3 linked regions of the Callithrix jacchus genome follow. The protein of the gene in region 2 purifies or fractionates together with the protein of the main gene of each other region. This does not show direct contact. Links are inferred from orthologs where the notes say so. Each region holds a gene or a part of one and is shown on either strand. Other genes may lie near its edges.

Region 1 (5,421 bases), on a different chromosome or scaffold from region 2:
TCCTCCACCCAGGGATGCGCATCTGGACCAGCCAGACTCAGGCTGCAGCGCCAGCAGGTGTGAAGGACCCTCTCCACCCCCCCACGCTGGCAAGCCACCCATGGCTGTCTCCACCAGCTGCTCCTGCTGGCCCCGGGTCCACCTCCCCACAGCCCTGACTCAGGGTGGGCCACAGGTGTATGGCAGAGGGTGCACAGAGAGCCAAGGACAGAGGGTCTGTGAGGCCACCAAGAGTCCACCTGCCAGGGCACATGCAGCCTCCCAGCCTTGCAGACCTCTGGGGGTGCAGACAGAGCCGGCAGGAGGAAAGCGCTCTCACCAAGGCCACCTGCACCAACAGCAGCCCCCATCCAGCCCTGGAAGGGGCCCACACTGATCTCTGTGCTTCCCGTCTAAGAACGCGCCAAACCCTCTGAGGAGTCCTGTGAGGCAGGACCGGGAAGAGAAGGTCAGGTCAGCGTGAAGGGTGCTGGCTGGGGGCTCCCACTCTACCTGCCAGAGCCCAGCCCGAGAAGGCAGGACACAGACCACCAGGCTCCAGAACAGCCCAGCCTGACCCTCAGCTCCCCATACGCAGCTGCAGGAAGGGCGCTGGGCAGGACACGGCGTAGGGGTCGGAGTGAGGCTTTGGAGGTGCAGACCCGGCACAGCCCAGCTTGCCCCTCTGTGCCCAGCAGCAGGGCAGACAGCACCGTCTAGCAGTCCCAGGGGACAGAGGGAACCCAGGGCACCCAGCACGAGGACGCTGACAGCGCGGGACGTACGAGTGGCCGGTGGCAGGGATGAAGTAGAGGCAGCAGTGGACGCGGGTGTCCGGGATGCGCTTCTTGCGATTGATGTTGACCTCCTCCTGCAGGTACTTCTCATACTGGTCGTTGATGAACTTCATGATGGGCTGCCAGCTGCATGGGGACGGGCGACGAGTCAGCGAGCACAGGCAGGTCATGCACAACCCAACACCCCACTTTCCAGTGCATGCCCTGGGAGGTCCGGCTTGCTGAGCAGAGACACCACAGCCTTATCCTCGGGCTCCCAAACCAGCCTCCCCGGGCTGGCCTCAGGAGGTGAGCTGAAGACAGCAAGACTCCCCAGGTAATTCTGATTTGGTCCAGAATTTTCAAGCCCCTGAGATGTGCGACATTAGCAGCATATCAGGCCCCAGGAGGTGGGCCCTGCACCCCCGTGGGCCAGGGAGCCCTGAAGCTGACTCTGGGCAGGGTCCAGGGAGCCCTGAAGCTCCTGCTAGTGCTCGTTCCCCGGAGGGGCCTCACCAGTTCTCGTTGTTGATGTGGTCCCCAAACCCTGGTGTGTCAATCACCGTCAGCTTCATCCGGACACCCTTCTCCTCAATATCTGCACAGAGCCACACACACAGAGTCAGAGGGGAGGCGGAGAACCCTCATAGACGCCCTGTGCCTGACTGACCTCAGGTGGGCAGCAACAACAACCAAGGAGACATTGGGACATTAATGGCCTTCCTCAGCCAACTCGGGCACAGGCCGGTGACAGTTCCCTGGGTGCCAGTTGCCTGTGACTTTTGTTGGAAAACTCATTTGCCTGCGGGGTGCTCAGTATGATGGGACCCACAGGGGTGGGGGACACTGACCCCTCACAGCCAGAGCCCCAGAACCAACGTGCTGGAGATGGCAGGCACAGCGAGTCTCTGTCTTGGAGACCCGGAATTGCCTGACTCCGGCACCCTCACATAACACCTGTGCTTCAGGAAGGCAGGGGGATCCTGCACCCCCAGCCTGCCCCCTGCCACTGACTGTGGGTGTTAGACTTGACCCCCTACGCTGTGCTCCAGGAAGGCAGGGACATCCTGCACCCCCCGCATATCCCTGGCCACTGACCGTCCATGATGGAATTGACTCCCTGTCCCATGCTCCAGGAAGGCAGGGACATCCCACACCACCCTGCACCCCAGCCTGCCCCTGGTGACTGACCCCCTGTGCTCCAGGAAGACAGAGGGGTCCCACACCCCCAGCCTTCCCCCAACCATTGACCATGGGTGATGGACTTGACCCCCCAACCTGTGTTCCAGGAAGGCAGGGGCATCCCGCACCCCAGCCCGCCCCCAGCCACTGACCATGTGTGATGGATTTGATCTCGATGGTCTTGGGGATACGCTCCTCCGAGGTGGGCTGCACTGACTTCCGGCTGATTTTGGATTTGAAGAGGGTGTTGATTAAGGTGGATTTACCCAAGCCGCTCTGCCCTAAGGAGAGGATGGGAGGCTGGTCAAGGGCCTCTCCGGAGAGGTCCAGCAGGGTTTGCACGTGGAACCCCTCCCACTCAGGTACAAGGCTCCCCAGACTGAGATTCAGCCGTGCCCCTCTGCCAGGCAGCACCTGGGGATTTCACCCTCGAGCCGGGTGTCCAGTGACTATTAAATCCACACAGGTGGCTCTGGTGACAGCATAACCCTGGCAGGTGAGCCAGGCCTGGCAGAATTGGCATCTCTTGTGCCCCTTGTGCTTTTGGGGCAGGAGGTCTCCTGGAGGCTCAGATTTCAGACAGGACAGATGCCGGCTTGTGGAGGAACCCAGGGCTGCCTGGGTGCACCAGGTGGCTGGGATTTCTGCAGTTCACCAGGGTGGTTGGAACCATAGGCCCGGGCAGCCTCAGGTGTTCAAACTTCTCCTCCCTGATCTGCCGGGGCCTGGGTGAGTCAGTTGACCTCACCATGCCTTAGCGTCCTAATCTGCAAAATGGGATAAACAATCCTTTCCCCCACGGAGCTGATGTGAGCATCAGGCAGGCTTGTGTATGTCATGTGGGGTCTGTGGGGCCCATGTGCTAGGGAGTGCTGGCCTGCAGGGCAGTGCAACTTAAGGGACAGCACCCGTGTGTGCGGACAGCCAGTCCACAAGTGACCAAGACAAACGAGGATGAGGAAGTGGCATTCACATGCAACGCAACACACACAACTCACTGCAAACATACCTCTCATACATACCTCACACACAACTCTCACAACACACACAAACAACCCACACATAACACGCACATCCCCCAGACTCAGAGCCCCATTGCTTTACCCTGCACAGAGCTGCCTTTGGCTTCGCCAGCAAGCACACAACAAAAACACCCCAGGTCAAGTGTGGTGGCTCACGCCTGTAGTCCCAACACTCTGGGAGGCCAAGGCAGGAAGACTGCTTGAGTCCAGAAGTTCAAGACTAGCCTGGGCGACATAGCGGGACCCCGTCTCTACATAAAAATGTAAAAATTAGCTGGGTGTAGTGGTGAGCACCTATACTTCCAGCTACACAGGAGGCTGAAGTGGGAGAATTGCTTGAGCCCAAGAGTGCAATGATCCTGTAGTGAGCTAGGATCATTGTCACTCCAGAGTGACACCCATTCTCTTAAAAACAAAAACTGGCTGGGCACCACTCACACCTATAATCCCAGCACTTTGGGAGGCCAAGGAGGGTGGATCACTTGAGGTCAGGAGTTTGAGACCAGCCTGGCCAATATGGTGAAACCCCATCTCTACCAAAAAATACAAAAATTAGCCAGGCATGGGGGCGCGTATCTGAGGCATGAGAATCACTTGAACCTGGGAGGTGGAAGTTGCAGTGAGCCAAGACCAGGCCACTACACTCCAGCCTGGGCAACAGTGAGACCCTGTCTCAAAAAAACAAAACACAACAAAAAACAAAAAACATCCTAAATTACACTGATGTTCTGACTTTGAACACCTTTCAGGGAAAAGTGTGGGCTCCCAGGAGGACAGAGGCTGGTGCTGGGAATCCCCCCCAGCTGAACAGTTTAGCTGCCTGAGGACAGACATTCCTCATCCATCTCCCTCTTTCCACCAAGTCTGTGTCCTGGCCAAGCTCAGGTCAGGAGTTATGTCAATGTTCCAGCCACAACACCTTAGATCTAGGAGATGGCACTGGGATACTTTAAGGTGTGTCCCTTTATTATTGGACAGACATTCCTCATCCATCTCCCTCTTTCCACCAAGTCTGTGTCCTGGCCAAGCTCAGGTCAGGAGTTATGTCAATGTTCCAGCCACAACACCTTAGATCTAGGAGATGGCACTGGGATACTTTAAGGTGTGTCCCTTTATTATTGGACAGACATTCCTCATCTATCTCCCTCTTTCCACCAAGTCTGTGTCCTGGCCAAGCTCAGGTCAGGAGTTATGTCAATGTTCCAGCCACAACACCTTAGATTTAGGAGATGGCACTGGGATACTTTAAGGTGTGTCCCTTTATTATTGTTACTTTTATTATTATCATCACCATCACAGCACCACCGTTATCCCCATACCCTCATCACTATCACCCCCATCACCATCACTACTACCGTTACACCACCATTACCACCACCATCACTGCTATCAGCACCAGCACCATCACCCCATCACCACTACCATCCACCACTATCACCATCACCACCATCATCCCCATCACCCTCATCATCATCACTATCACCCCCATCACCATCACTACTACCGTTACACCACCATTACCCCATCACTGCTATCAGCACCACCGCCATGACCCCATCACCACTACCATCCACCACTATCACCATCACAATCACCACCATGACCCCATCACCACTACCATCCCACCACTATCACCATCACAATCACCACCATCATCCCCATCACCCTCATCATCCTCATCACTATCACCCCCATCACCGTCACTACCATCACCCCCACTAACACCGCCATCACCGCTATCACCACCACCACCATGACCCCATCACCACTACCATCCCACCACTATCACCATCACTATCACCACCATCACCCTCATCATCACTATCACCCCCATCACCATCACTACCATCACCCCCACTAACACCGCCATCACCGCTATCACCACCACCACCACCCCATCACCAATACCATCCACCACTATCACCAACACCACCATCACCCCCATCACCACTACCATCCACCACTATCACCATCACCACCATCACCCCCATCACCACTACCATCCCACCACTGTGACCATCACCACCACCATCACCCACATCACCACCATCACCATCACTACTGCCATCATCTCCCCCATTAACACCACCACCACCACCATCACCCACATCACCATCATCACCACCATCACCCACATCACCACTACCATCCCACCACTATCATCATCACCACCACCATCATCCCCATCACCACTACCATCCACCACTATCATCATCACCACCATCACCCTCATCATCACTATCACCCCATCACCATCACTACCATCACCCCCACTAACACCGCCATCACCGCTATCACCACCACCACCACCCCATCACCAATACCATCCACCACTATCACCAACACCACCATCACCCCCATCACCACTACCATCCACCACTATCACCATCACCACCATCACCCCATCACCACTACCATCCCACCACTATGACCATCACCACCATCACCCACATCACCACCAT
Region 2 (5,421 bases):
GAAGGAACGTAACTGAAAGTCATCATCCATTGGGATATAGGGAGCTAACATCTCCAAGTCTAAATCGGTGTCCTTTAAAACAGCAAATACATGAGTTTTTACAATGGCCACACTTTATATATAAAAAACAAGTTAAAGTCACTTCAGAATAAAAATTAATGAAATTTAATATAAAACAAATAAGTTCATTTACCTGAGTAGAAAATGGGTTCTTCGCTTCTGTGTCTTCAGCAAAAAGTTTTTCTACCAATTCCAACTTGAATTCATTGACCATATCACTGTCCACATAAAAACAATATTCACTGGGACTGTTAGGCTGTAAAGAGAATTAAATATATTCAGTTTTTCCTGAAGAAGCCTCCATATACTTTGCTAGTTGTCAGAATTTTCAAACTAGATCTCAGGAAAAAACAAAAAACACACAACCAAATCCATCATGTTTATCAAATTTTATCTAACGAGGCCGGCATGGTTGTCCATGCCTGTAATCCCAGCACTGGGAGGCTGAGGCAGGTGGATCATGAGGTGAGGAGATCAAGACCATCCTGGCCAAAATAGTGAAACCCTGTCTCTACTTAAAATACAAAAATTAGCTGGGTATGCTGGAACACGCCTATAGTCCCAGCTACTCAGGAGGCTAAAGCTTGAACCCAGGAGGCCGAGGTTGCAGTGAGCCGAGATCATACCACTGCACTCCAGCCTGGGCAACTGAGTGAGACTCCGTCTCAAAAAAAATTTTAAAAGTTTAGTGAAAAAAATGACATTTTGAAGCTTATACTGGTAACTAATTTTGCCAATGTACGTATTTCTGACTATGTAATATAACATCATTTTTAAAATTAAAAGAAACATCTTATTCTAAAGAATAAAACCAATTTTTGGTAATTTACATCCCACAATGGTACCTAACTGACCAATTAACTAGATGCTACATTCTCTGGAATTTACCTTTGAAATGAGAAGGCACACTTCTATGGTGATTGAGCTACCTAAAAATCTCACAGCTACAGTTGAGGGTAGGAGTAGAGACTTAAGTGCTTTTACCTGCATACACCTGAATGAATATACATTATTACTATTTTAAGAGTTCTGGGCAAGAATTTTAACAAAAAACTATAGCTGTGTATTCTAAACAAGGAATTTTGCTTTCATCATTCTATTATTTTTGTTAGACAAAAACCAAAATGAATCAAACATTTTTTTTGTGCTAGGTAAATTAAGCAAGCAGGGCATAGGAGATACTCCTATACCAGAAGGCTATGAGATCAAATCTCCTACTCTTAGCTTGCCAGTTTTATTCAAATATTTAATGTAGAATTATTTACCACTTATTAAAGCTGATTTATGCTTCATTTATCAAGTTATAGTGTTCAGAGCTAAGTTACCCTACTCCTGAGCATATTTTTAAATGTAGGAAGTCCTGAAATGGAATCATTCTAGATTTAGAAATAGAGCCCTGTGTGACAGCTCTAGTCTTGGTCAGTCCAGCCTTTAAAGATTATTTTTGTTGTGTTTATAGGACAATTAATATCAAGACAGATCTAGAATAAAACAGACCAGTTACTAAGTATTTAATTTATGTAAGACTTGTTACTTTCATGTTATACTTAAAGTTTCAAAATAGTGATGGAAACTGAACTAAATTGGGCAAAGAATTTATAAGGTCCTTTCCCATGTAAACCCTGTTAAGCCTATTGTTACCAGACAGTTCTCCAACTTAAAGGTGTAATGGGCCAGGGATGGTAGCTCACACCTGTAATCCTAGTACTTTGGGAGGCCAAGATTGGATGATCGCTTAAGCTCAGGAGCTTACAAACAGCCTGGGCAACATAGTGAGAACCCCGACTCTACAGGGAAAAAAAAGGGTTAAAAAATTAGGCATGGTGGTGTGGGCCTGTAGTCTCAGCTACTCGAGAGGCTGAGGTGGGAAAATCACTTGAGCCTGGGAGGCTGAGGCTGCAGTGGGCTGTGATTGCACCACTGCACTCCAGCCTGAGTGACAGTGAGACTCTGTCTCAAAAAATAAAAACAACAACCCACAATAAAACAAAACAAACAAAAAAATCAAGGTAACAGGTATAGGCTGTGGCTACCTTGAGCACACTTAGTCCTAGTCTAAAATGTCCAAATTCAAGACGTTTTTGTCCTACTGATATAAATAATAAGAAACAATGTATGTTTCACCTTTTGGTTTATATTATGCTAGTTTCTTCCCAAGTTCCTATCTTTGAGCTTAAAACATGTGCTGAGGTCTAAGTTAAGCAATAGCTCTTGCAATAATTTTAAAGTGCTAAAATTCAAACACACACACAAATATAATTTGTGGTTCAAATTAGTGTTTCAATCAAACTTATAATTATATACAATCTTGAATGTTAAAATCTGAAAGTTGTCCCTTTCTGATTATATCATGACACCTACCTCAGGTGAACTTTGTCTAGTGCTTCCATCAGAAGGACTGGGTGGCTGATCTTGAATCTGGGGCATGGTAAAAGAAAGTTCCAGTGACTCTGGATTTGGTTCTAATTTTAATGCAACTTCTTGATTCAGTGCAGGGTCAGCACTACTTCGAAGTGGCTTTGGAGTTTCAGAGGTGGCTAATGGAGACATTGACAAATTTATGTTCTGTAATTTTTCATTGGATGAGGGGAGCATTACATCATTATACAATGGTACTTCCTCAAGTTGCTGGTCATCAGTTTCTGTGTCTGCAAGGAAAAAATATGAGTCAATATAAAGTATACAAATATTTTTATTTGAGCAAGACAGAGTCTTGCTCTGTTGCCCAGGATGGAGTACAGTGACACAATCTTGGCTCACTGAACCTCTGACTCCTGGGTTCAAGCAATTCTCCTGCCTCAACCTCCCGAGTAGTAGCTGGGATTACAAACACGCACCACCATACCCAGCTAATTTTTTTATTTTTAGTAGAGACAGCTTTTCACCATGGTGGCCGGGCTGGTCTCAAACTCCTAACCTTAAGTGATCTACCTGTCTTGGCCTTCTAAAGTACTAGGATTACAGGCGTGAGGCACCACACCCGGCCACGAGGATTTTAACATACAAAAAATGTATACAATTTATCAAACAACAAAATGTTACCAAATTTTCTTTCATCAGGAAGTTAACAAATATTATAGTATAATCTTAAATCTGGATTATCTTTCCAATCCACTATTGATACCTCCTCTTAATCTGTATGGCATAAAAGACAAAAGGCAATACTAACCATTTTATATATTAAAATGTTCTCTACTTTAAAATTGCAGTTTTCATCTTCAATGTTTGATGTTATGATATGACTTTTTTTTTTTTGGTCAATCAATGAGAGCTTGTTATGTTGCTCAGGTTGGCCTTGAACTCATAGCCTCACCTCCTCGAGCGCCAGGACAACTGGCCGGAGCCATCGTGGCTCCCCATATGATATGACTATTTATCCTTTAATGCAACAATGCCTACTTCCATATAACTCGCTAAACTAGAGAAAATCTGACAGCAGGATACAGAAATAGCAGAGTAGCCAGGAAAAATTTGTGGGAAGAATAAATGCCTTAAGGACACTTTAAAATACAATTTCCAACAATATAAAAAAAAGCACGAATGGTAAGAAATTACAGGGGAAAAATATTTAATCAAACCAACATAATAGCCTTCAATGTCCAAATGATTACCAACAAAAAACGTCAAAGTAACATTTAGTTGAAATGAGGCATGCAGCAAAAGTTTAGGGAATTAACAAAATAATTACTCACCATTGCTGCCAAAATCTAAAGATATGATTGTGTCTCCAGCAGCTGGGGCCAGCAAAGTTAAAGCATCAGGTTCCTTCTTAAGTTTATCAAAGAGGCTACTTGTATCTTCTGATTCAACTTTGGTGAATAGCTGAGTCATTTTCATATCTGAAGATTCAACCGGTTTAAGGACACATTCTGTTTGTTGAAGGGAGAAAATCAAGTCGTGCTGAATAATACCACTGTCAAAACAAGAGAAATTAGTAATTCATAAATGAGCACTTGACACAATGACGGGAAGGGGAACTGTGAAACGGTCTCTTAAGAAATTCTGCTTTACGGACAGGAACATTTTAAGATTTCTTGAGATGCATGATCTCTCAGGCACAATTTGTCACATTTAGGGTTTTAAAATGCTAATATTAAATGAAGACCCAATAAAATTCGCAGTATGCAGCCATAAAAAAAGAATGAAATCATGTCCTATACAGCAACATGGATGCAGCTGGAGACCATTATCCTAAGTGAAATAATGGAGAAACAGAAAACCAAATGCTGCATGTTCTCACTTGTAAGTGGGAGCTAAACATTGGGTTACTTGTAGACATAAAGATGGCATCAATAGACACTGAGGACTTCCAGGGGAGAGGGGCAAGGGTTGTTGAACAGCTGTTGGGCATTATGCTCACTATCTGGGTGACAGGATCAATTGTACCACAAACCTCAGTATCACATGATATACCCATGTAACCTATGCATGTATCCCCTGAATAAAAAATAAAAGCTGAAATTTAAAAAAAAAACCTCCCCATACAAGATATTTTGACTAATTTCAGTTAAGAATTTCAGATGTCCAGGGTGGCTCATGCCTATAATCCCAGCACTTTGGGAGGCTGAGGTGGGTGAATTCCTTGGGCCTGGGAGTTCAAGACCAGCTTGGCCACCACGGCAAAACCCGTCTCTACAGGGCACAAAAATGGCTTGAGTCTGGGAGGTGAAGGCTGCAGTGAACCAAGATTGCACCACTGCACTCTAGCCTGGGCGACTTAGGTCAGAGTACAGAAAATAATGGTAGAAATGTGAAAGTAAAATAAAATTTAGTTAATATTTATAATCTTATCTTCCTATAAATGAACAGAGTATCCAAAAAGAATTACTGTTTGTTTCCCAAAAATGTTTATTTCTCAAACTTACCTCACAACATAATTTACACACACAATGCACTGTGGTTGAGAGTTCTTGGTGTTATATATGACAGTTGCTTGAGTTTCAACCCAGACATATCCACCTCTTTTGGCAAGCATCCTGTACTGTCCTGTGGTGACTTGTCCTTTAGTAAACACTTGGGGGGAAAATAAAAAAGAATCATTCAGAGAAAATATTGTCCCTTTGACTTTTCAATTAAATGAACAGGTACTGAATGTTGATCATTGTTTTAGAAAACAGATGTCTATTTAGTGGAATCAGTTGTAGCTGCTTAAATTGAGACAGTGTGTCACAGAATAGCTGAAAATATACCCATTTCCTTTTTCAAACCCTTTAAATAAAACTCCTTTGTTGCCAATGAGCTAAGTGAAGAGTTCATGAATACACAATCTTCAGTGACTGAAATTCCTTTAATGACTTAGGTTGAAAATGTCAGATTAGAGAATAATCAATAACCTTTTTCAAATGGTGATGCTGTAACTTT
Region 3 (4,375 bases), on a different chromosome or scaffold from region 2:
ATAGTGGTATTTTGTCTTTGAAAAGCTGTGAGGAGATCCTGTTAATGTGGCATGGCCTGCTTCTGTGCCCTGCTTCTCCTGTGTTTCTTGAGCTCCGTGGCTCCATAGAGATAGGCCCCATCTCCTGGCTTCTCTGCTTGAGCCAAATAAAATGGCACTTCTCAGCTCTTCCTTTGAAGCCTGATCCGGTATGCATTTGGAGCTAATTACTACAGTTGACACAACTCCATCTAAAAGCATCGTGATACAGATTCTGTAATCACTGAAAAGAAAATGATCTTGCAGATTACTACTGTGTCCTCCTTTATCGCCTCTTTTCCTTAACAGTATAGTTTATAATAATGTAAATTTTTTCTAATGACTTTCAGCTTTAACCCTAGAAACTATAGATGTTTTCTCAGTGGTTATGTGATATTAACACAACATAACTGTATAATTTGCTCACTATTGATTACAAATTTATCATTGTGGCACATGCCTGTAATCCCAGCTGCCCAGGAGGCTGAGGCATAAGAATCACTTGAATCCGGGAGGTGGAAGTTGCTGTGAGCCAAGATCGCGTCACTGCACTCCAGCCTGGACGACAGAGGGAGACCCTGCCTCAAAAAAAAAAAAATTTATTTGCACTCACTGATAAAATGAATTTAAAACACATTCAGTGACTTGACATCTTGTTCGCTCTTTTTTCTTCTGTAAAACAGGAAATGGAGCAGACTAGAAGTGCTGTCGATGAGGACCGGAAAATGTATCTCCAAGCTGCTATAGTTCGTATCATGAAAGCACGAAAAGTGCTTCGGCACAATGCCCTTATTCAAGAGGTAAAAGGAGGGCAGTCCTCAGGGCTTCTTAGGGTAGAGGGCATTGTCGGTGTACAGAGTCAGTCTCTTTCTTCTTAAAGAGGATACAGAAATAAACTGATCCTCAAGTAGCATAAAGAAATGTTTCATACTTAGAATCGTACTTGCTTCCAGTTTCAATATTAAATTCAGATTTGCAGGCTAGGCACAGTGGCTTGTGCCTGTAATCCTTTGTTGTTGTTGTTGTTGTTGTTGTTGTTGTTGTTGTTGTTGTTGTTGAGACAGAGCCTTGCTCTGTCGCCCAGGATGGAGTACAGTGGCATGATCTTGGCTCACTGCAACCTCTGCCTCCTGGATTCAAGTGATTCTCCTGCCTCAGCCTCCCGAGTAGCTTGGAATACAGGCATGCGTCTGGCTAATTTTCGTATTTTTATATTTTTGCATTTTCAGTAGAGATGGGGTTTTACCGTGGTGGCCAGGCTGCTCTTGAACTCCTGATATCGGGTGATCCACCCACTTCAGCCTCCCAAAGTGTGGGATTACAGGCGTGAGCCACCATGCCTGGTGAACACCTGTAATCTGAATGCCTTGTTAGGCCAAGACAGGAGGATCGGTTGAGTCCAGGAGTTTTCGACCAGCCTGGGCAACGTAGAGAGACCCCATCTCACCAAAAAATATTTTAAGAATTAGCCAGCTGTGTTGGCATACACCTGAAGTTCCAGCTACTTGGGAGGCTGAGGTGGGAGGATTGCTTGAGCCCAAGGAATTGAGCCTGGGTGACACAGTGAGATGCTATCTTGAATAATAATAAATTCATATTTGCTTTGGCTTTATTTTAGAGCTCTAAAACTTGCCAGTTCATTGAGTCTTCTGTTCAGTTATTGAAGGAAGTTGACACATCAGATACTCATTCATTCCATAAATATCTGAGCCTACCATATGATAGATGGCCAGGCTGGTCACTGGGTTGTAGTACAGAGCAGCTGAAGATGTGGCAGGCCCTTTTAGAGTTTACAGTTTAATGGGGAAGAATTATGTTATTGAAATAGTACACAAATAAATATAAAATTACATTAGCATGCCCTGAAGGAAAGGTACACAGTACCTTGAGAATGTATTTAAATGTCCTGACCTAGGGGATGCTGGGGAAAACTTTCTGGAGAAAGTGGTGTTTGAACTAAGAGCTGAGAGTTGAGTGACAGTTAAATAGAAGCTTGGGGTTGTGTGTGAGTATTTAATGTTTATTGTTTCACTTAATTATGTATCATTATTAGATTTTGCTGTATCCATTTTCCATATTTTAGTTCCTATTTTCATACTTCATTCTGCCTGTTTGCTGAAATTTCAGTGCATTTGAGGCACTTTAAACGGATTGGTTAAAAGTCATTACTTACAGCTGAAGAACGGGCAGTAGTTTGACTTCCACGTCTCTCTTCCACAGGTGATTAGCCAGTCAAGAGCTAGGTTTAATCCCAGTATCAGCATGATTAAGAAGTGTATTGAAGTTCTGATAGACAAACAGTACATCGAACGCAGCCAGGCGTCGGCAGATGAATACAGCTACGTCGCGTGATGTCGCTCTCCTCCAGCGTGGTGTGAGAAGATCATTGCCATCACCATTTGGTGTGTTCCTGTGGGAAAAGCAGGCCTGTGCCTCCATAATTTGGTCATTTGGCAGCCCCTGTTTTCTGCTGTTTACAACATCACCAGTGCCACGTCATGAGCGTCAAAGAAAATGCCTAGAGATATTTCAAGCTCATGTCATGATGACATTTCTTAAAACTTTCTTAAAAGAATGAGTGAAGTATTGCTGGAATGTGGAAAGTCGGTTGGGTACCATGCTTTTTCTCCCCTTCACGTTTGCAGTTGATGTGTTTTTTTTTTTTTTTAATGTATCTTAAAGGACATAAAATTTAAAAACTTAAATATTGTAATATGACAGATAACCTAATAATTGTATCTACATTAAAATGACAAACATGATACTGCTGCTTGTCAAATAAAAAAAAATAAAGAAATAGAATGCCTTTTTTATGTGAATGGAGTATCAGGTTGACCACAAAATATATAGAGTCAAAGCAGCTAATGGGCATCTTTAGTTGCATTTTTATCTGAATGGTTTAGTTTACTTGTACTTCTATTTAAATCCTACATGAAAAATGTCTAGATTATTGTTCTTGAATGCACTGGCCTGCATTCAGCATAAAGAATGCTTTATTTTTATGGATTCGATATATTGGAGCTAAGCATTTTGAATCTTGAAGATGTAATTTCATCGGCAGTTTCTGGTGGTGTGCTACCCTGCAGACAACGCAGAGTGTGAGCAGGATTCATGGTGACCTCAGTTCTGGCACAGAGAGAGCTTTTCATTCAGAAGTTGTCTTTCTTCTGTTGCATAATGCATTAATTCTAGCATAGACTAACATCCTAGCTCTATGGCTTTCCTGAGTCTTAGGAGATCCTGTGATACCAATGTATTCCTTCCATATGCCTTCCCTACCTGTTACCCTTACAACCCTCCTCAGACAGTTTATATACTAGAGTCACTCCCATCAGTCACAGATATGCTTAGCAATGCATAACCTAAATATCTTTTTTTAAAATAATTTTACATTGCACCCAGTGCCACTTATATATAAATCTCATTATTTTGTTTATTACATATATGTATCAACAGCAGTGTCAGAATACTGCAATCTATTATATTTATTGTCTGTCCACACCATCACCACCACCACACCCCTCTTCCCTCAACACACAAACAAATTTTTTTGTTTTTTTTAAAGTAAGAGACAGGATTTTGCCATGTTTCCCAGGCTAGTTTAGAACTCCTGGCCTCAAGCAATCCTGTCTCTGTCTCCCAAAGTGCTGGGATTACAAGCATGAGCCACTGTGTCCGTTGAACATTCAGTTTTTAAAATACGGAATATTTAAAAGCAAATCACATAAATTGTTTCACTTTTAATACTTCAGTTTTTATCTTGAACAAATAAGGCCTTTAAAAAATCCACAGTGACATTATTACTCCTAACAAAAACAATAATTAACTTAGTATTATCTAATATGTGGTTCATATTTAAATTTCTTATCATTTCGAAATGGATTTTACAATTGGTTTATTCAATTGCATTTTTTTCTAACTCATGTCTCTTAAGTGTTTTAAAAATCTACTGAACTTACAATGACTTCTATACTGTATTTCTCATTTTACCTTTCTTCCAAAGGAGGAAATAATGGCAAACCATATAATATTGTACATTCGCCGTCAAAAAGCAAACCCTTGTTTTGATAACTTGTTGATTGATAAAAGTTTTCCAAATTGATTCTTTTTTTCTTAAATATTTATAAATGTTAAATTAAGTTTTATCCTGGTATCTAATCGTCAAGAAAGTACATTGAAAAATGGACAGAATGCTTGTGCGGAGGTCAAAAGAGATGACTTACAGGAGTTTTCTTCACATCCTCTCTCTATTCAGCTGTAAGGAAACAACTCACACTAGGAAGAAAAGGGACCAGATCTGTTCAACCAAGGCACCATTCAAAAAGAGCAATGATTGGAATTCATTGTAGCACACACC

The links. The genes of interacting proteins can lie anywhere in the genome.
Region 1: the proteins of HIF1A (region 2) and SEPTIN9 purify together in Homo sapiens (affinity purification with western blotting; 4 studies listed by BioGRID and IntAct, with this or other methods). This does not show direct contact. The link is inferred for Callithrix jacchus from reciprocal best matches to the Homo sapiens genes HIF1A and SEPTIN9.
Region 3: the proteins of HIF1A (region 2) and CUL2 purify together in Homo sapiens (affinity purification with western blotting; 7 studies listed by BioGRID and IntAct, with this or other methods). This does not show direct contact. The link is inferred for Callithrix jacchus from reciprocal best matches to the Homo sapiens genes HIF1A and CUL2.

What each region holds. Positions count from the first base shown.
Region 1 is NC_133506.1:133,303,760-133,309,180, reverse strand, and holds part of SEPTIN9 (septin-9), read right to left. Parts: intron 2,219-5,421; coding exon 2,090-2,218; intron 1,354-2,089; coding exon 1,272-1,353; intron 903-1,271; coding exon 765-902; intron 1-764.
Region 2 is NC_133509.1:96,450,826-96,456,246, reverse strand, and holds part of HIF1A (hypoxia-inducible factor 1-alpha), read right to left. Parts: intron 5,074-5,421; coding exon 4,926-5,073; intron 3,974-4,925; coding exon 3,753-3,973; intron 2,709-3,752; coding exon 2,422-2,708; intron 317-2,421; coding exon 194-316; intron 73-193; coding exon 1-72.
Region 3 is NC_133508.1:34,639,392-34,643,766, reverse strand, and holds the end of CUL2 (cullin-2), read left to right. Parts: intron 1-701; coding exon 702-818; intron 819-2,238; coding exon 2,239-2,370; 3' UTR 2,371-2,815; downstream 2,816-4,375.